5 linked regions of the Ovis aries genome follow. Each later gene encodes a partner of the first gene's protein in a complex. Links are inferred from orthologs where the notes say so. Each region holds a gene or a part of one and is shown on either strand. Other genes may lie near its edges.

Region 1 (4,095 bases):
GTAATATAGAACTCCTCAGCCAACAATAGCAGCTGGAACATAAATGAAGATGCGAACTCAGTCTACATTTACCTAAAAATTTCCCGCAATCCAAGTGTTTAGTTTACACAGACTGCATTAATACCTGACGTATTCACTGCATTAATTTGGAATTCCACAGGGCAGGTTAACAGACAAAAATCTAACTACATTAGTATTTAGCTCTGAAGGAAGTCACCTGTACCATCCAGTGAAGCTTGTGGGGGCTTCCATTACTCCTTACCCTTCCCCATCCTTCCTCCCTCCCATTTTCCTCCCTGCATGTATCTTAAGCTTTATCCTCTGTTTAGTCTTTCTTAATGGAGAGAGTTTCCTGGCCATTTAAGTACAAGAAACTGGAAGTAGCCAAGAGAAAGGAGAACAACCACATCATTGGGAGCTTTTTCATGTAAAGATCGTGTTCTCACACTGCCCCCAAAGAGGTTTATCTTGTGAGGTGAAATATGGCACAAAGTGCTACCTGTTGAGAAAAATAGTACAAATTTGCATGCAAAGGACTAGGGAATAGCAGGAAAACTCCCACAAAGCTACAGATATAAACAAACAGGTCTTAGAATGTTCTAAACATCAATCAAGTTTCAGAGTAAATAAATGGCTAGTGACACATCTTCTGTAACACATGAATCAGCTACAGATTTGCAAGAGTGGGACACACCCTAACACCTATGATGATACTAAAGGACCTGTTTGAAAGTGGACCCGGCTGTCTGAATTGCCAGCCCATCCTACTGAGACTGGAACAGAATTTTACAACGGTGTGGGGTTGTCATAATTTAAAGCTAAAAAATAAACACATCATTATCATGAAAGTTAATTTGAGAACTTCATTAATATTTTAACACCAATAATTAAGGACAGGAGCAATACAAAGGAGTAACCAATCAGTTCTAGGAGGCAAACACAAGGGAAAGAAATGTCAGGTAAGACGGTTGAAAAACTGCAAATTCAAAAACTAAAAAAATCTCAATTCTAAAAAATAATAATAATAAAACGAGACCTTTATAATTAAAAAAAAAAAAAAAACCACACACACATCTTACCTTAAGAGGCATCCAAGTAGCATTCATAGTGTCAGCAGTAGTTCAGGCAATAATACTCAGAAACGAGCAAGAATAGAGTCTTAGTAATTCCCCAGCCACCAAGTATGAGAAGATAGGAAAATTTTTTGTTTCAAAAAGGTATCTGAAAAAGAGAGGACTTTCATTTAGACTAAAAATAATCCAAAAATAAGCATATAGTTTAAACTATCTGGACAGAGATTCAAAGTACTATTTGCCTCACCATTTTAAAAAAATGTAGAAAATAACTGTTCCTTTTGGAGAAGGACAAATGCGTGTGGTGTATGTTTCTCCACAGGTATGAAGAAATATATTTCTCCATAAAATTGGATTAAATGTGTAACACATATTTCAGATAATATAAAATTGCTTATTAGAATTATTTCTCAAATAGAAAAATGATTGTCCAGGGTTACTTCATAAACACTATTAAAAAGTGATTTTTTTATCTGATCACTAAAAAATGCCCTTGCCACATTTAGTTTTAATAAATTAAACCCTCTCTGATCATTTTGATTGTCCTAAATTTTCTTGAGTTTAAGCTGCAGAGCCCATTCTATGTGGAAAAATAATAGCCATTCTTGACTGAAGTGCTACAAATAAAAGACCCTTCTTTCCTAGAAATCTTTAATAACAGGCCAAACAATTTTGAGCCAAGTTTGTGTGGAGGTAGGAGGATGGATTAAATGACCTCTTGTAGGATTCGTGCTCTCGTCCTAGGCCTGAATGAAAATTCCAGCTTAACCAGTTACTGCTTCGCTTAAAATGGAGGCTTGCCCGATTAGGGACAAAATAACAGCACCCACCTCTGTAAAATAAATTTTTAAAAATTCAAAGCCTACAGTACCCTCATTTTTAAGAAAAATTAAAAATAAAAACCTCTGGAGTGGATTTGTTCTTGCTATGCGTTTGTCACTTCGGCGTCGAAGACTTGGCATCACTTTCCTTACGCTCGTCGAATTTTTTTTTTTTTTTTGGTGGGGGGAGGGTTGGGGGGAGTTTGACTTCTGACCCAAGTCCGGGAAGGATTTAAGAGCCCCTCCATAATCCCCAACGCAAGAGCTAAGGGGCGAAGAGAAAGGGGAGAGCCCGAGTTCCCACCCCTCCCCCCACCCTAGACCCCAGTCCCAAACAGACCCCCCCTTCCCGCAGTGAGGCGACTCCTTCTGCCCCAAACCCATTGTTAGGGAGGGGGCGTAAGGGAGAGGGGGCTCAAGGCAGGGCGCCGGCGGCCGTTGCTCCGCTCGCTTCTGGAAGGGGGCGGCCCGCGGGATGCAGCTTCCCTTCCTCTCCGCGTCGGTCCGTCCCACCTCGGCTCGGCCTGGCGCCCCGGGCTGTGCTCGGCGCCCCCGGCCCCGGGCCCGGCCCAGCCCGCCCCCCGAGTACCAAGCCCCCGACCCCTCTGCCCGCAGCCCGAGGCCCAGGCCTGCGGGTGGGCGCGGGGCGGGGGTCCCTATGCCCCACACACGCGTCCCCGCTCCCCCAGCCCAGTCGCTTCCAGGGCCCTCGGCGGCGCCCGCTCCCCGGGCCCGTCGGCCCCCCGCCTCCCGGCCGGGCCACCCCCTCGGGCTCCCGCCGTTGGGGCCGCCTCCCCTTCCCCACCATCACCCCTACCGACTCGTGCCCCCACCCCCCGGGGCCCCAGTGCCAACGGCGGCTCCCCCGGCCCCCGGACCTACCTGCACAGCTCAACCAAGCCTAGAAGTGGGGGCGGGGAATCTTCCGCCCTCCTCTATCTCTCATTGGCCCTTCCGGGGAACATAGGTATCTCTATTGGCGGGCGGCGAATGTCCGTCAGAGTGGTGGGGCGGGACAGAAGGGGAGAGGGATGCTGGTGCCTTGGCGTCTCTGTCTCTGTGTATCTCGCTGTCTCTGTCTCGGAGCTTGGAAATGAGAGACATTTGGATGAGAGGACTGGAAATGGGCCTCAGGTGGCAGAAATAGAAACAGGGATCCTGGCAGAGCTTCCCGCAAGTCTGTCACTCCGAACCCACTACCTAAGTCCCCTTTAGATCCTCTTCCCCATCACCCCCAACCCCGGCCCCTCACCCTTGTAGGTTCTTCATCCAGGAAGCGTTGTGAAGAAAACTCGAGGCCGGAAGGCCACAGAGGGAGATTTTATATATGTATATAAAATACACACATACAAATACTTATATAGAAAGTCAACCAGATATAAGGTCACAAGGGCCTGGAGAGGAAAGGACACACATCTGAGATATAGCCAAAATAAAGAATAAAAAAATCACTCTAAGAGCTGGTAACGTGGTTTCCTTCTGGGAGGGGAGTTGAGGGGATCAGGTGTGAGGAAGACTTACATTTCACTATATATCCTTTTGTATCTTTTGATTTTAAAGATTTTGATTTTTTTCCTTTTTTTTTTTAATTACGTGGCTTAATTTTAAAATAACTATAAGGTGGCAAAACCAGGGGGACAGTTAAAATGGTGGTCCGGACAAAGAGGGACAGCATGAAGACTTGGTGAGGAATTTTAGTTTTTAGTATGTTCATTTCCAGATAGCAGGGGTAAAACCAAGTAGAAGTGTTCAGGGAAAACTGCAGTTATGGAATTCAGGAGGGGGTGGATAATCTGGGGAGATGATAGAGTTCTTCACATAATATGGCAATCAGTGACATGCTAAAGGAAGAACTCCCCATAGAAACATAAAAACACATCCACAGTAAAGTAAGGCGGGTGAACAGAAACAGAAAGATGGTTGGTGAGATAAGAAAAACAAATAGTGAAGAGGTATGAAAGTTAAGGGAGGAAGGGTCTCTGGAAAAATAAAACAATAAAACTATGAGAACCTCACAGATGGTACGACTCATTTCAGGGACCCTCTTTAGCTTTATGAAATAAGAATGAGAGCTTGCTATACACCTGAAACTAACAACATTGTAAATCAACTATACTTCAATTTAAAAAAATTTTTTTAAATTAAAAAACCAAGAGCAAAAGCCAAGAGAATACTAAAAAAGCAGAGTTCTTAACTTTTTC
Region 2 (4,178 bases), on another chromosome or scaffold:
ATGACACTTCAATATGCAGAAGCTATTACTGCTCACAAATAGCTAAGCTATCTTCAACCCTCCTAGCTTATTAATCTATTAACAGCATGCAGTACTACAATCCACATACTACCTTCTAAAATATGTTAAAGCCCTATGTGGAGTTACAACTTACTTTAGGGGATCTTCTTGATCACTGTCTATGCTATCAGCTTCACTGTCAGGGTCACCTCTCCATGTCTGATCCACAGTAATGGGTTCCTGCTCCCCATCACTCCAGCTGTCTTCATCTGAGGCAAGGAAGGGAGAGCAGCCATTAAGACTTCCCACCTCTGTAACTCCACCACACAAAACTAGATTACTTAACACACCAATCCAAATCTTAAAATTAAAAATGCTTAATACAGAAGCACTGGCAAAGAAATATACTTCCTGAGTATAAGTACTTATAACACAAATGAGTTAACCATAGCCTCAAAAAGACAGAAAGGTCAACTCAAAATTATTCTGTTTCCTGAAATTATCTTACCTAACAAAGTAAAGTATAAAAACAGCACTGAAAGAGTCATAAACTCAGGATAAAGTAAACCTAAGCACACACTAATTAAAACCAAAAAGACTGGTGAACAGCAGCAGTCCTGAATTCTCCCAAACTGGCAATGAATTAATAATAATATTGTACTTTCAAGTGCCACATATGTTCAAGGCATTGAGATAAACCAAAGTTCTTTGTTAACTTTCTTCCTGTTTTTTCATTATGAGAAAGAAGATCCTCACCCAGAATTCGGCTGGCTTCACTGCGGCTACTTTCTGGAGTCTGAGACCCCAGCTCTGTCTTAGCGTACGAGCTCAGCTGGCACAAGAGTGTTTCACCCACAGGCCCTGGATTAGTCTTTTTCATTTGCGCATGAAGTGCCAGGGCGTTTCTCCGAGCATGTTCAGCACAGAAGGATACCCTAAGGAGACAAAATATTAACGTTTCATACTCATGCTCCCTCTTACAAGAGTTCAGTGATTTCCACAGACAGTGATCTTTAGATCATTTTCAGGCAATCAAAATGACTATTATCTTCATTTATAGACTAAAAATGCTAGTGAGGCAGAGTAATTTAACGGGCAAGGTCAACTCATTTGGTATTACTGAAGGGAAATGCAGGTTAACATATTCCAGTGATCTATCCATCTAAGGAAATATTCCAACTATAAAAATGCTGGTATCATTTTGCAACAAGTCACACTGATCCACTTTCATCTCTCAAAATTGGTTCTGGGAGGCAATTTTACATTTTATAACACTTCAAAATCAATCCATTGTAGGTAGTAAGATGTGGGACACAATGCAGAATTATCTAGCCAAATTATTTGTGCATGGATAGTTTAAATGATGAAATCTTTTCCTAAAAAAAATACACATGTATACAATTTTGCATTACCTAAGATTCAAGGACAGCCAAAAGAGCCATGGAACCTAGGCTTAAGAATTTATTTTACAGGGCTTCCCTGGTGGCTCAGCTGGTAAAGAATCTGCCTGCAATGCCGCAGACCTGGGTTCGATCCCTGGGTTGGGAAGATCCCTTCGAGAAGGGAAAGGCTTACCCACTCTAGTATCCTGGCCTGGAAAATCCCATGGACTGTATGGTCCACGGGGTCGCAGAGTGGGACACGACTGAGAAACCTTCACAAGGTAAAATTGCCAAAGAGATAATAAAACGGCCCAACTAGGAGATGTCTCTTCGTTTTCACCATTTTAAAAAATTTTCCAAGGATATACCCGTAACTTCAATTTTACAAACACGTGGCCTAAAAAACTTGGCGACTTTTTCCAAGGCCACATCCTGGCACATCTTCCTCTCACTTAAAAACTAAAAGTACATACGACAGTATCTATCTATCTGTCTGTCTGTCTGTCTGTCTCTCTCTCTCTATATATATATATATACACACACATACCCATCTTTCTTCTCAGGCTTTGGGGCAGCACTGGGACATCTTTTTCCGTTCTTCGTCGATATATAACTACACTGCTTGAAAGGCGCATTCTTGTCTTCAAGGATATGCTTAATGCAAAATTCCTGCCCCTCCAGACGAGGTTGCGAACATGGACGATGAGTAAACGAACAAGACAGGGGCTCCTGAGATCTGGGCACTGGGGTGATCCTCCCCCGATTGGTCGGCAAGACGTGAATCCGAATCCTGTTCATACCAAAACCTGCAGGGCTGCACAAAGATCAAAAAGCCTTTAACCTTCCCGAAAAGCCCAGCTCCACAATACCCGGGCAGACTGCGCGCGGCTTCTAAAACGCCAGGCCGAAGTCACGCTCCTTAACTGCCTTCCGCCCAAGTCTACCAAGATATTACTGAATTTGCCTCATCTCAACTTCTCTGTCCAAGCCCTCCCCCAACTCCGACCACAGCCACGTTGAAAGTATCTCAAGGGCTCGCACGGTCGCCACACGAGGGAGAAGCAGCAAGAGGCGGAAGCGCCAGCTCCTGCCGCACGCCGCGGCGCAACGCCGCAGACCCACCCGCCCCACCCCTGGCCTCCGCCTCCTCGCATGCCGCCTTTGTCCCGGCCCGCCTCAAAGCTGAACGCTGGGCCCTGCCCATCCTCGGAGGCCAGTGCAAGCGCCATTTTGTCCTAAGACTCCAAGCACAGGCGAATCTGGGTCCTGGAAGCCAAGAGGAGTAAAGCGCCCCTGACGCTGACTGAGACAGAGTAGCAGCTCGGAACAAACAGAAGGGGCGAAGCAGCAGCCTAACTCCAAAACCGAGGAGCAAGCACAGCCGCCATCTTACCTCTGCCGCTGAGCCGCGCCACTCGCTTTCTGGCAGCGCCAGCCACTTCTAACCATGCCTTTCCGGGCTCCCAGCCACTGATTGGATACTGAGCCTACGACTCTGTGTCACCATTGGCTATCTATAGAGTTCAGGGGGCGGGGCGCTGGGAAACGGCGAGGCTGGGTGGCTAGATGAGGTGTCTGTCAGCAACTCAGCTCTGGAGAGAGTGAGGCGGAGGGAGCGTGGGTTGTGGGTCGGCGGGGACAGCTCTTTACATTTCCGACCGTAGCTGATGTCCAGGCGGATTTGGGGCGCTCTGTGTGTGATCTTAGGCTGCAGCTATTTCACCACCCCTACATAGTCGGTACAACAAAATCGACATGTAGAGGCCAAAGAATCACTGTACATTTGACTCTCATTGTCTATACAGGAAAAGGCTTTAGTTTTTTTTCGTGAACACTTCATTTGTGGAAACATTTTTTTCAAGTATTTACTGAGCCTAGGAAATTACACATATAAACTTTTAATTTTCAGAACCCTAAGAAGTTAGAAACTACGAATAGAACGGGCCCATATCTAGTAAATAGGGCGAGGTGAATTTGAACCCAGCCTTTATTCTGAGTTTCCCCAGTGGCTCAGACGGTAGAGAATCCACATTAAGTGTAGGATACCCGGATTCCATCCCTGGGTCCGGAAGATCCTCTGGAGAAAGGAAAGCCAAGCCACTGAAGTATTCTTGCCTGGAGAATCCCATGGACAAGAGGAGCCTGGCTGAGAGGGGGAGCAAAGAGTGGCACACAACTGAGTGACTAACTCATTCTTTACCCCTTTCTTCTCTCGTGAAGTGCATTGGACTGAGAGGGCTTCCCAGATGGCTCAGATGGTAAAAGTGTCTGCCAGCAATGCGGGAGGCCCAGACTCGATCCCTAGGTCGGGAAGATCCCAGTATTCTTGCCTGGAAAATTCCATGGACAGAGGAGCCTGGTAGGCTATAGTCCACGGGGTCTCAGAGTCTGACACGACTAAGGGAGTTCACTTTCACTTTTTTTCACTTTTTGGACTGAGAAAATTGAGTTCTAAGAAAATTGAGTAAATGAGTTCTAGTTGCGGCCTTGCTTCTCTACAATTCCATGCTAAATAACGCAGGTATATAGAATGGCAGATAAATCCCAATCTTATAATCCTTTAAGGAATTTTTAGTTAAAAGCATTTCATCTCACCAGGACTGTGTTACATACATAAGCAAACACTCCAACCCTCAGAAGTACAGAGATTTGTTATAAACATCCTATAATTTAAAACTAGTAGAGGCAGTCACATTACAGAAAACATGGGAATCTTCAACCAAATGCAGTGATATCAAAAAGGAAAATTAAAACTACTATAGAGAACAATGTAAAGAGGCATTAGGGACTAGGTAG
Region 3 (4,161 bases), on another chromosome or scaffold:
ATTTGCACATTCAAGTTTGAGAAGCACTGGTGTAGAATACTTTAAGGGTGAACTATATATAGCAGTACATAGATAGGGTACCAATCAGGCAAATAAGATACAAAGTACCTCTTCACTTTCTGTACACCATATTTTATTAGGTACTGCTCAGATAGACCTATAGTGTTTTTTAATGAATCTGGTACTTACTAATGATCATATGATATAAATGTGGGATCTATTTCACTTCCTGAAATAACACAGCTCGGGGGTTTTCATGCACATGAAATATAAAAAAGCTTAGTTCTTCTGAAAATACAATAAAATTATTCATTTTATTCAAGTTCCAACACAAAGTTCAGCACACTTCACAAGCCCCATTAATTCCTACAGGTTCCTGGGAGTATCATTAAATCCCCCAGCATCACTGAGAAGCAGGTGCTTGGCAAACATCCAATCTTCAAATGAGATTCAGAAGGACGTGGTCCTGAAAATGCAGTATTTTTCTGCCTTGTCCTGTCAGGGTTGCTTCTCAGGCTCATACTCTCTCCCGCCCTGAGGCCTCATACAGCTGCACACTCAAGTACTTCCCAAAAGGAGAAAGGTCAGAGGTGTCATTATCCCATAAGCACTTGAGATTCCAGCTGTGGAGAAATTAATCTGGTTCGGTTCCGGCTGAGAAGCCCTGAGTAAGATCTGGAAAGACAGAGGGAAATACAAAAGAAAGAGCCTACTGAGAGGCTCTTAGGAGAGGACATTTGCAGATTTTAAGGTGGGGGTCAGGGGCAAGGTTTGGCAGATAAGTGAGAGGATCACAGAGAGAGATAAAGATCCATCTCCCACCTCTACTCCAGGAACAAAAAGAGTGACCAAGAGATTCCTCCAAAAGACCTCTTTTCTTGATAAAAAGAAGGAAAAGAGCCAATGAGGAAGCTTTAGGAGCTGGAAGCAAGACTAAGAATCTCTGGAGGGTTTTTTTGTTTTGTTTTGTCTTCCAATGAAAGGAAATGAAGCAGTATCCTTCTAACCAGAATCTTATAAGCAGCAGACCATCAGGAGGATTAAGAGACCTGTGAATAACCAAAGAAATACAAGGGGGGATTCGTTTTCAGTTTAAATCCAGCACTGGGGAGGAGTCAGGCAGCCCTGGACTTGAGGCTACTTCCAGAGAAAGGGGAAGAAATGGGACTATCTTTACAGCCACCAGTAAGCAAGAGCAGCGTCCAAAGGAAGAAAGGAATCAAAAATGCCCCGGGATAGAGCAAGCCAAGAGAGAGTTCTTGTTAGCAGAAAGATGAAAGATAAAGTAGACATATGAAAGAAAACATACAGGCACCCCTTTGGGATGGGCGGGGAGATCCTCCCCCAGGGGGAGGGGACTTCAGGAGGTAAGACTATAGGAAGTGAGTACAGAGAAAAGGCCACAGAAGCAGACAAAGTGCCATGCTGAACAAAGATATTTATTCACCAGAGGAAGGAAGACGAAAGGTGCACTTACCTGACAGGGAGAGCACCTAAAGGAAAATGGGGCTCCAAAAAGGGAAGCTGAGGAAACAAAGTCTCTCCGATGGCTGCAAAGCTCAAGAACCACGGACCACTTTCTGGAAATGAGCAAACTAAGAAAAATGGTGTGCCCTCCCAGATTTAACAAACATCAGGACGGTGGCTGCAGGCTGAGAACTGTGTAACCAAAAGTAGAGCGTGGAGGGTGGGGGTGGGGCAGGAAACACTTTCAGATATGAAAATCTGGAAATAAGGTGGTCCGATTTGGAGAACTCATGAAAAAGGGTGGAACCCCAAGGATAGAGTGATTGGGAAAAGCTGTGAATTCCCTGTGTAAATACAAACACTTATCTTAAAATTTCAGGATTTGGACTTCATTTCGGGTAGACTCTGGACACTGTGCTCTCCCAGATTTTGGAAGGCTGGGAAAAGGAATCGGCCCCTAAATTTAAGACATTCTGACAAGCATTCTGCCAGATTTCAGGCCTGGAAAAGGGAAGTCTCCCCTGAATTTGTGGGACCATAAGTACCCCCAAAACTGGTCACTGGACCCCAGATTTGAAACTCGCTAAATGGGAAGAACCCTCAGATTTGAAAGCGGACATTTATTCAGAGTGGAGACACGTAAAGGGAGTGTCCTCCCAATTTGGGGGTCGTGGGTCAGGGGGTACCATCCTCAGTTGGGGAAGCTTTGGAAATTAAGATAAAATCCCAGGGATGGAGTTTAAGAAAGAGGGTTGCACCGATCACATTTTCTAAAAACTACAGAGAAAGGGGACACTCCCATAGTCGGGGGCTTGAGAAAGGGGTGTGCTCCCCAGAACAGGATTAAAGAGGCTATAAAAGAAAACGCGTTCCCAAAGCACAAGGCAAGGGCAGGGGTTGTTGGTGGAGCTCTCGGGGGCCACACAAGCTCAGGATCCGACCCTAGCTCTTCCCCCCACCCGCAACACGGCCCGCTCCGCGCCCTGGGCCCGCACCCCGCGGCCCAACCTCCTCAGGCGGCGCTGATTGGCCTTAACCACCGTCACTCCCGCAGGCAACCCTGGGGATTGGGCGCCACTCGCACGCCCGCCACGCTCTCAACAGCGGTCCCCGGGCCTCCCTCCGGGCAGGGCAAGCGGGGCCAGGCGGGGAGCGGGGCCGGGCAGGGGACCGGAGCAGCGGTGGCGTCCGTCACCGTCCCCGCCCGCACGGCGCGCGCGCGCGCGCGGCGCGGGCCCGGCCCGACCCAGCCCCAGCCAGCCAGCTTCGCCTCGCCGCGCCTCGCCGCGAGCTCACCTCACAGCCCCGCTCCGGCTGCGCCGCTCCAGGACCAACCGACAGAAGGACTCTGCGTGCAGCGCACCACGTGACCCCCGGGACGCGCCCAGCGTATCCCCCGCCCCCCACACACACGCACCATCGCCACCTCCGAGTGACGCAGCTCCTCAGCTGCCCCGCCCTCGGCCCCTCCCCACCCGATCACCGTGGCGACGGCTCGGGCGAGCCACGCCCACTGCCCTGACGCGCGGGAACCGGCCTGCGCCTGGATCCGGAGCACGAAGTCCCCTCTCACCCATAGCCACTGTGATCACACGAAGCCCGGGACTGGACCCTATCCGTCATCTGTTAGTTATGCCTCCTATATGCGCCTCGAAGCCTCCTGCTTCTCTCCATCCTGCTGCCAACGCTCCAGTCTAGTCCACCATCAGATGGTTGTCCTCACCACCCACACTTACTCCTTCCAATCCGTTCTTCATGCTCCGACAGAAAGAGCTTCTCAAGACGCAACTCTGTTCGTAGCCATCCTCATGCTCAAAGCCCGTTGCCCACTGTTCTTCAGATTAAGATCTAAATCTTCACCGTAGCCTATCTGCCAGACTTTTCAGTTTGTACTAACTTGCCTGTCTCACATTCACGCGCATTCAACTCCTCCACTTTCTCAAGCGGCTTTCAAGTCCTCACACAAGTCAGGTTCCTTCCCGACCTAGAGTCTCTGAACCGCTCATTCTGCGCCTTACCTCATTAACTCCTCGGAAGGGATTCCAATTGCTAGTGGGAAGAGAAGCTGTATTCTATCTCCGGGGACCAAGGTCGGAGTTGCAGCCACCCACAAAGGGTCTGAAAAGTTTTCCCAGTGGGACTTGGGAAGTTCCAAAGAGGAATGCTAAATATTTGTTATTTAGGAAGGCAATAACGATTTTATTTTACCTTGGAAAAACAGGGCAGCTAGATTACACCTCTTCAAATGTAAATATAATCATGTCACCGCCTTGCTTAAAACAACCAACCTTTCTGTCACATCCTCCACCCTTGCTAACTGTCTGGCCATACTAAGTTACTGTCATTTCTGTGGTTCTCTGCAAGGTCCTTCCAGGCACTGGGCCATTGACTAAGCTGTTACTTTTTGCAAAACTGACTTTAAAAGACTCTTTAAAAGGTCTCAGTTTGTCATCTCCTCAATAAGGCCCTCTTTGACCACATAATCTAGAAGTGCTCCCCTTGATCTCCTGCTTCAAACAGGGCAATTGCTCTCTACCTTATCAATGTTTGTTTTCAGCAGAGCACTTAACACAGTTTGTAATTATTTAATTGGTTTGTTCTCTTTGTTTTATTTTTTCCCCCTGAGTTAGAGTTAGGGACTATCTTGTATCTACTGCATTGTCAGAACCTGACAAATAGTAGATGTTCATTGTT
Region 4 (4,146 bases), on another chromosome or scaffold:
CCACCCACGATGGTTTAACACTAGCATTTTCTAAAGAGCTCTGATACTGACTAAAAGGACTAAAACACTGCAAACAACCCTGTATAAACCTACAACTGCAATGAATTTTTTAAAGAATGGAGAAATGCTAAAATATAAAACCATTCAATAAAGTGCAACTAAATTAATAATAAATGAATGTACTTTGCTGTGTGTAACTTTGTTCAGATACAAAAAGATAAAGAATATACAGCTAAAGCCCAGAGATGGAAAACAACAACAAGCTGCCTAAGTCTCAAGTGTAAATACTTTAACAATGATACATTACTTGGGAATTTGACCACAGTACTTCCAGGAGACAGAGTAAGAAACTTTCTACAAATTAAATACTTAAATTCTACCAAGCTCCAAGTGAGAAGCTAATATTGAGCCTAGACCCTCAATCATTAGACCTGGCAAATGAACTGTATACTCAGGAAAGTAAAGTAAATTTCCTAACAAGGCACAGCTAGCTGACCACTAACGTTAAGAGCAGAGAGACCTGCATCCACATTTGTGGACGGTTATACCTCTTATGGGCTTCCCTTGTGGCTCAGCTGGTAAAGAATCTGCCTGCAATGTGGGGAACCTGGGTTCGATCCCTGGGTTGAGAAGATCCCCTGGAGAAGGGAAAGGCTACCCACTCCAGTATTCCGGCCTGGAGAATTCCAGACTGCTATTGTTTCCCAGCTCACTCTGCTTCTGTTCAATTCGGTCCCATTTATTTTGGGGCTTCCCTGATGGCTCAGATGGTAAAGCGTCTGCCTGCAATGAGGGAGACCCGGGTTCGATTCCCGGGTCGGGAAGATCCCCTGGAGAAGGAAATGGCAATCCACTCCAGCACTCTTGCCTGGAAAATCCCATGGACGGAGGAGCCTGATAGGCTACAGTCCATGGGGTCGCAAAGAGTCGGACACGACTGAGCGACTTCACTATTCACTCTATCTATTTTAAACAAGTCTCTAGAACTCCCTTCCTTGCTCCTTATTTTTAACCCATACTTTATCAACTTTTCAAAAGCCGCCTATCTGCTATTTTAACACTAGAAATGACAACTTTCTCAAATAAAATAACAGGCAGAAAAGGGCAAGCAGGGGCTTCATTGGTAGTCTAGCGGTTAAGACTATGCGCTCCCAATGCAGGGGGCACAGGTTCCATGCCTGGTCCGGGGAACTAAGATCCCGCAAGCCGCATGGTGCGGCCAAAAAAGAAAGAAAAGGGCAAGCTAGAACAAGAGAATCTAGGACAGACTCTTAAATCTTTAAAAAAAAATCCCTGAGCGAGAGGGGAACACTACCAATCTCACTACCTACAGTCAAATATAAGATACAATTGAAGATTCATCTCTTAGTGCACAATGTCCAAGAACAATAAAACCCTTGACATCTCAACTGAGAAACCAACAAAAAAATAACCTCGTGGGAAACCTTAGAACCGCAGCCCAATCCCCCCTCCCTCCCGCCCCAAACAGCCTCAATACGGAAAGGCAGCTGAAGGACACCCCTATAATTTGGAGTTTTCTTATTTTTAGTACTAAATGCTCTCAGACTAATTGTCTAAAAGGGCAACCGCCTTGCACTTGTGCAGCTACACTCCAGTTGCTTTACAAACTCTTCAAGCAGGGATGAAAACTCAAAAAAATATACCCCCTATGAATAAAGAAATACCGGGCTAAAGAATGGGGATGGAAGACCCAGAGACAGACGGCGGCGGAGGAATACAAGGACAAAGTAACACAAAGCGAGAATTGGGCGGGCAGGATGGTCAACGCCGAAGCCCCCGCACTAGAGTGGTTTCTCCCCGAGGGTAGGAAACGGACCGCAGGGCTGGCAACCACGCGAAGGAAAGGGTGTGGCTCCCCGCGGGAGCGGAGGGAGGACAGGGTGGGAAATCCAGGCTGGGGGCAGCGAGTGGAATTGGGAGATGGCAAAAGAAACCCCTGGAAATTTCCAATCGAAACCGGGGCCGCTCAACCCAAGGCACAGCACACAGGCGCTGCCAGGCGCGGTGCTGCTCAAAATCCCCTGCTGGAGAGGTTACTCGGAGCGCACCCAGGAGCTTGCGCTCGTCCTTGGGGTGATGCAAAGTGAGGATACGATTACATTGGAACGGCACCTCCGCCCTAGATTGACAGAGGACCACCAAATCGGGCTAAAGGGAGCGGGGTGGAGGGGGAAGAGAAGGGGGCGGTGAGCTGAACTGGGGAGAAAACGACTGCGAAGGAGAATGAAAGGCAGCGAGAAGGGCAGGGATTCCAATGCAGTCCATTCTGAGACAGTCTAAGCGCGCAGGTGTAGAAGGGTCCCGAGAGAGCAGAAGGCTAGAAAATGTATAGGATTACAAAGCAAGAAAGGAAGCAAAAAGCAAGCAAGCGAGAGAAAATGTTTTAGGAACGGACGACAGCAGAAAACCCAGATCAGATGCCGCTAGACGCCGAAAAGCTTAGCGATGCCACTGATGCAATGGGGATGGCCAGAGGGGAGGGAGTGATGAGAGGCAGAGGACGGCGCGAGACCCCAAGGGGGCGTCTGCCAAAGTAGAACAGACACCGGTACCTGTGCTGTCGGCCACGTTGCCCACGGAAGACGCCATCTGGAGCTTCTAGAGCGAGTGCAAGAAGGGGGTGATTGAATCCTGCAGCCGCCACTACTGGCAATAATGTTTCTAGAGGTAGGAGCACGAGGGCAGCAGCCGTACCAGTGCTTTGGCAGGCTTAAGCAGCAGCAACAGTTACAGCTTTCGAACCCTAGAACTCTGGTTGGCCATCTACCTCTCACGGTCTTGAAATGGCGGCGACGGCTCCTCGGCCGAAACAACACGGACCGGAACTACTTTCTGTTACAATCAAGTACCAGCGCGGAAGTAGCGCGGTAACCAGTGCTACCAACAAAATGACTATAATCAAAGTCAATCGCTCCTATGTAACCTTCCGCGCAGGGCCCATTGCGACAAACACGATTATGTCTAGAGCGCATGCGAGCAGCCGTGTCAGCCCGACTGGCTGTTAGGGCACTGTCTGGGACAGGAGCCACCAAGTTTTTTTTACTAGCGAAGCGGATGGTTTAAAAGAAACTATACACTTGAATGACACTTTTGCCAGTGGTATAGTCTGCTGCTGCTGCTGCTGCTGCTGCTGCTGCTGCTAAGTCGCTTCAGTCGTGTCCGACTCCGTGCGACCCCATAGACGGCAGCCCACCACGCTCCCCCGTCCCTGGGATTCTCCAGGCAAGAACACTGGAGTGGGTTGCCATTTCCTTCTCCAATGCACGAAAATGAAAAGTGAACGTGAAGTTGCTCAGTCGTGTCCGACTCCCAGCGAACCCGTGGACTGCATCCCACCAGGCTCCTCCGTCCATGGGATTTTCCAGGCAAGAGTACTGGAGTGGGTTGCCATTGCCTTCTCCATGGTATAGTCTACTACTTAGCAAAGAGCATAGATTTTAATAGGAATGCCAAAGGCGTATACAGGTTTCATCAACTTCATTCGTATAGTTGAAAGATGATGAATCAATTCTGAGCAAGTAAATCTAAATGGTTATATTTTCAAAGTCTAGAATTCAAAAGAGAGAGTTCCAATTTGAACACGTGTTAGTTCTGATTCCAGCCATTGGTTTAAGCACTTTGATTAAAAGGATTGAGTTTCTCAGGGCCAAATGAACCCAAGCATCTCAGATTTTGGCCATATAGCCCAAAAGTTCCAAATCCTCTTGGTTTCACGATAATTTTGCCCACAGTATTACGGCAAATGCTTCACAACTCAGGGACATGCTGACAGTTTGCACTGCAAAGGCAGCAGCCATAAAACTGTTAAAGATTCATATTCTTCAAAATCCATGACCCTTCCGAGTTGACTTCATTTCCACCACATTGCTTTGTGAATTGTTACAATCAGTGATACCATTTAACTCAAGGCAGCTCAACAATGATAAATTGATTCATTTGCCATCTACCTAAACCACACATCTAGAGACTAAACTGCTGCGCTTCCTTGAACAAATCAGTTCTTTATGATCCTCCTGCAGTTTCAAGTCCACTGTTCAGACGTTTTGTCACATTTAGTATTAATTTATATTGCATCTCTTGTTCCAGAAAGGATTAAAGTAGCTTGCCACATTAGCAAGAAATTAC
Region 5 (4,018 bases), on another chromosome or scaffold:
CCTCTGTCCTCCCCTTCTCCTCCTGATTGGCTAGATGGATCTCCTTGCAGTCTAAGGGACTCTCAAGCGTCTTCTCCAACACAGTCCAAAAGCATCAATTCTTCGGCGCTCAGCCTCCTTTACAGTCCAACTCTCACATCCATACATGGCTACTTAAAAAACATAACTTTGATTAGACAGACCTTTGTTGGCAAAGTAATGTCTCTGCTTTTTAATATGCTGTCTAGGTTGGACATAACTTTTCTTCCAAGAAGCGTCTTTTAATTTCATGGCTACAGTCACCGTCTGCAGTGATTTTGGAGCCCAAGAAAAAGTCTCTCACTGTTTCCATTGTTTTCCCATCTATTTGCCATGAAGTGATGGGACCAAATGCCATGATCTTAGTTTTCTGAGTGTTGAGTTTTAAGCCAACATTTTCACTCTCCTCTTTCACTTCCATCAAGAGGCTCTTTAGCTTTTCTTAGCTTTCTGCCAAAAGGGTGGTGTCATCTGCATATTTGAGGTTATTGATATTTCTCCTGGCTATCTTGATTCCAGCTTGTGCTTTATCCAGCCCGGCATTTTGCATGATGTACTCTGCATATAAGTTAAATAAGTAGGGTGACAACATACTTGACGTACTCCTTTCCTGATTTGGAACCAGTCTGTTGTTCCATGTCCAGTTCTAACTGTTGCTTCTTGATCTGAATACAGATTTCTCAGGAGGGCGGTAAGGTGGTCTGGTAATTCCCATCTTTTGAAGAATTTTCCACAGTCAAAGGCTTTGGCGTAGTCAATAAAGCGGAAGTAGAGGTTCCCTTGGAGAAGGCAATGACAACCCACTCCAGTACTCTTGCCTGGAAAATCCCATGGGCGGAGGAGCCTGGTGGGTTGCAGTCCATGGGGTCATGAAGAGTCGGACACGACTGAGCGACTTCACTTTCACTCCTCACTTTCATGCACTGGAGAAGGAAATGGCAACCCACTCCAGTGTTCTTGCCTGGAGAATCCCAGGGACGGGGGAGCCTGGTGGGCTGCCGTCTGTGGGGTCTCACAGAGTCGGGCACGACTGAAGCGACTTGGCAGCAGCGGCAGCAGCACGGGCTCCCTTGCAGCTGCATCGTTTCCGGGTTTTGCGGCTCACCGCCCCTCCCTTCCCAGCTGGAATCCACTTCCGCACTTTGCTCCGTGCCCTGGGCGCCGGGGCGTGGAGGCGGTAGCGCGCACGCGCACAGGGATCCGGCCCGGGCCGAGCGCGCGGCCGGACGATTGCGGGTGAGGGAGAGTCGGCCCTGGCCGGGATGGCGGGCCTGAGGGGTCGTGGTTCGGGTCGGAGCGGGCGGGGGGTCTCGGCTAGGATCTCCTGGCTCCCGGGGCATGCGGGGGCCGGGCGCTAGAGCCCGGGTCCTGGCGATCTGGGTCGGACGATCGTGTAGGGCCGGGGGCGGGCTCGGGCCGCCGTGACGCGGGCGCTCAGCCTGGCCGGGGCGGGCGGGAGGCGGGTGCGAGGCGGCTCCTTCTTGTCGCGAACTCTCTGTGACCTTGGCCAAGTCACTCCATCCCCTTGAGCCGGCGCCTGCGTCTGTGAAGTGCGAATTATGAGCCCTGCCTGCCTGCTGGAGCGGTTTTGAGGCTCGGGGGCGGGACCCCCGAGGGTACCTGCGGTAGAGGGCGGTTCCCCGGGGACCACCCGGGCCTTGGGTGAGGGAGAGGGGCCTTCCGGGCGTAGCATTTTGTTACAGGCTTTGGGAAGGACCGCTCATCTGTAGATTTTTAAAACTCCAGAGCATTATGAAGTAGTTACAAAACTTGTTTAACACAAAGGAGAGAGGTCAGGGCTTCCCCGAGGCCCACGTTGCGCAACTGTTTCAGCAATGCTCACGCTCCGGCCGGAGACGGCTCAGTGAGAATGGTTCGCAGCCGTCGAGACCCTTAGCTGTGGAATTAGTACTATTTGTGATTCCTCGTTTGCCAAAACCCGTTGCGCCCACCTGGGAAACTGTGGCGCTGGCCAAGCAAGTCTAGTATCTGTCCACGTGAGGCAGTCCTCCAGCTTCCCAATGGACCGAATTGTAGAGACTGAGGATGGAGGGGGCGCCATAGCCATTTTGGGTGGTGGAGTGGGAACTCAGGAACCCTCCCGACGCGGGCAAGGGTCTGCAGTGTGACAGATATTATGTAATTATGTAATACGCAACTGCCAATGGTAGAAAGTCACTAACATAAGCCTATTAAGATGTTCTAGGTTGGAAGAAATTCAGAGCATTTGAATTGACTTGAACTGAAACTTTTCGCCGCAGGTGACTAGCATGCAGATAACCGTTCTCTGACCTGCTGCCCCTCTTCTGACATGGCCCACCGCGGTGGGGACAGGGACTTCCAGACTTCAGCGCGGCGCATGGGCACCTCTTTGCTCTTCCAGCTCTCGGTGCATGAGCGGGAACTGGACCTGGTGTTTCTGGATCACAGCTATGCTAAGCCGTGGAGTGCCCACCCCGATGCCAGTAGTGCCCGCCCCACCCGCATGCTCTTTGTTACTCCTCGGAGGCAGCACGAAAGTACCATGTGAGTTTGGCCTTCTCTCCTATGGGCTGCTGTCACCCTAACTGGGCAGTAATCAGTTGGGGATTAGAGTGTATTTTATTGTGGGAGATTAGGGATGGGGTGGGATGTTTAATTTAGCATCCTTGTTAACCATCCTGAGGATGTCAGGCCTCTTGGTGAACATCTGGATTCAAGACATCTAATGAGTTAGGAAGGCAGGATGTTCAAAGGAAAGCGAACAGCTGATTACATTTAGGATAAGAGGACTTGTGTGGAAAGAGGAATTGAAGATGATTATTTAAACGGAAGAAAAAGATGGAAGAGTTGACTTTTAAAAATTGTCACATAGGATTAGACTCATTCCTAAAATAGCCCAGTGTTCTGGCTCCAACACTGGGGAATAACCTTTTCATGGTAATTTGGTTTGTTTTTTCTCCATTCACCTGCAAAGCTTAGGAGCACATGCCCACGACTTTTCTTTCCCTCTTAACTTGTTATGGAACTGTCACCATGGGTTGATCTTAATCCTTCTGAGATCTGGTTGTATTTTCAGCTTGCCTACGTAATAGGGTCGGGAATTTTTTCATAAACTTACCATGTAATATGTGATACAGTTACATTTGGTCTGTGCAAACTTGTTTAGCAATTCTTTGGAACTTTAAGGCATTCTGATTACGTTGGAACACAAGGTATTTCAAGATTTAGTGATATATTCTATTTTGATGATAAAATCATGCCCTTAATAATTTTATAAACTTTTTGGGGGAGGAGTTTGTTTTTGTTTGTCTCAATCTGACCTGATGTTTAATCTCTAGCACAGGTTTTAGGTTTGCTGGAAAACAGAGATCTTGTGCTTTGCTTCTTTAGATCCACCAGTGAGCCTTAATGAGCTATAAGTGCCATGACATGTGTGTGTAACACATGTAGAATAGTGGTTTTTATTTCATTTCCCAGCGAGAGCCTCATTTTGTTGGCCTATTTTGGATGTACAGGTCACAGGATCTGTGATTTTAGAGAATAATTGAGCATAATCCTGATGCTTCTGATCAAGGGCATCACTGAAGAGCTCTTTTGAATAGAATTGCAAGTCTCTCTTTTAGTTATGTAATAGCTTCTTGCAAGCATTGAAACTCCTGTATTTAAATCTCATGATTATTTTCTTAAAGTGAGATTTTGTGGACTTGGTCATTTCAGCACTCAGAAAATTACTTCCTCTTATAGACTGGCTCCATATATGAGCCCTATAAGTGGGAGTTTGGCGTATTTTAGGAGCTCTTTTTAGGCCACTGGATCTGGAAGGTGGTTGCAATGGGAGTGTAAGTGGGAGCTAGGGGAGAAGCTGGCAGGGGCTACCTCATGTAGGAATTTGATTCTCAGAGTTGGTAAGAAGTCATTGAAGGATTTTAAGCTAGAGATTAAATTTATATTTAAAAAGATCACTTTGAATTTTTGTTTAATAGATGATAGTGCTGAAGTAGAATAGATAAGACCTGGC

What was found. The genes of interacting proteins can lie anywhere in the genome.
Region 2: KANSL1 (region 1) and KANSL2 share a complex: the UniProt entries of both Homo sapiens proteins name them as parts of the NSL complex. The link is inferred for Ovis aries from reciprocal best matches to the Homo sapiens genes KANSL1 and KANSL2.
Region 3: KANSL1 (region 1) and PHF20 share a complex: the UniProt entries of both Homo sapiens proteins name them as parts of the NSL complex. The link is inferred for Ovis aries from reciprocal best matches to the Homo sapiens genes KANSL1 and PHF20.
Region 4: KANSL1 (region 1) and OGT share a complex: the UniProt entries of both Homo sapiens proteins name them as parts of the NSL complex. The link is inferred for Ovis aries from reciprocal best matches to the Homo sapiens genes KANSL1 and OGT.
Region 5: KANSL1 (region 1) and KANSL3 share a complex: the UniProt entries of both Homo sapiens proteins name them as parts of the NSL complex. The link is inferred for Ovis aries from reciprocal best matches to the Homo sapiens genes KANSL1 and KANSL3.

What each region holds. Positions count from the first base shown.
Region 1 is NC_056064.1:45,912,782-45,916,876, forward strand, and holds the start of KANSL1 (KAT8 regulatory NSL complex subunit 1), read right to left. Parts: upstream 2,804-4,095; 5' UTR 2,777-2,803; intron 2,553-2,776; exon of another isoform or gene 1,977-2,552; intron 1,222-1,976; 5' UTR 1,080-1,221; intron 1-1,079. UniProt on the Homo sapiens protein: Non-catalytic component of the NSL histone acetyltransferase complex, a multiprotein complex that mediates histone H4 acetylation at 'Lys-5'- and 'Lys-8' (H4K5ac and H4K8ac) at transcription start sites and promotes transcription initiation.
Region 2 is NC_056056.1:137,502,108-137,506,285, reverse strand, and holds the start of KANSL2 (KAT8 regulatory NSL complex subunit 2), read right to left. Parts: upstream 2,807-4,178; 5' UTR 2,776-2,806; intron 2,197-2,775; 5' UTR 2,181-2,196; coding exon 1,930-2,180; intron 936-1,929; coding exon 757-935; intron 270-756; coding exon 155-269; intron 1-154. UniProt on the Homo sapiens protein: Non-catalytic component of the NSL histone acetyltransferase complex, a multiprotein complex that mediates histone H4 acetylation at 'Lys-5'- and 'Lys-8' (H4K5ac and H4K8ac) at transcription start sites and promotes transcription initiation.
Region 3 is NC_056066.1:64,945,082-64,949,242, reverse strand, and holds the start of PHF20 (PHD finger protein 20), read right to left. Parts: upstream 2,807-4,161; 5' UTR 2,764-2,806; exon of another isoform or gene 1,478-2,763; intron 676-1,477; 5' UTR 1-675. UniProt on the Homo sapiens protein: Methyllysine-binding protein, component of the MOF histone acetyltransferase protein complex.
Region 4 is NC_056080.1:64,199,982-64,204,127, reverse strand, and holds the start of OGT (UDP-N-acetylglucosamine--peptide N-acetylglucosaminyltransferase 110 kDa subunit), read right to left. Parts: upstream 2,807-4,146; 5' UTR 2,611-2,806; coding exon 2,574-2,610; intron 1-2,573. UniProt on the Homo sapiens protein: Catalyzes the transfer of a single N-acetylglucosamine from UDP-GlcNAc to a serine or threonine residue in cytoplasmic and nuclear proteins resulting in their modification with a beta-linked N-acetylglucosamine (O-GlcNAc).
Region 5 is NC_056056.1:103,860,305-103,864,322, forward strand, and holds the start of KANSL3 (KAT8 regulatory NSL complex subunit 3), read left to right. Parts: upstream 1-1,212; 5' UTR 1,213-1,680; intron 1,681-2,279; 5' UTR 2,280-2,329; coding exon 2,330-2,544; intron 2,545-4,018. UniProt on the Homo sapiens protein: Non-catalytic component of the NSL histone acetyltransferase complex, a multiprotein complex that mediates histone H4 acetylation at 'Lys-5'- and 'Lys-8' (H4K5ac and H4K8ac) at transcription start sites and promotes transcription initiation.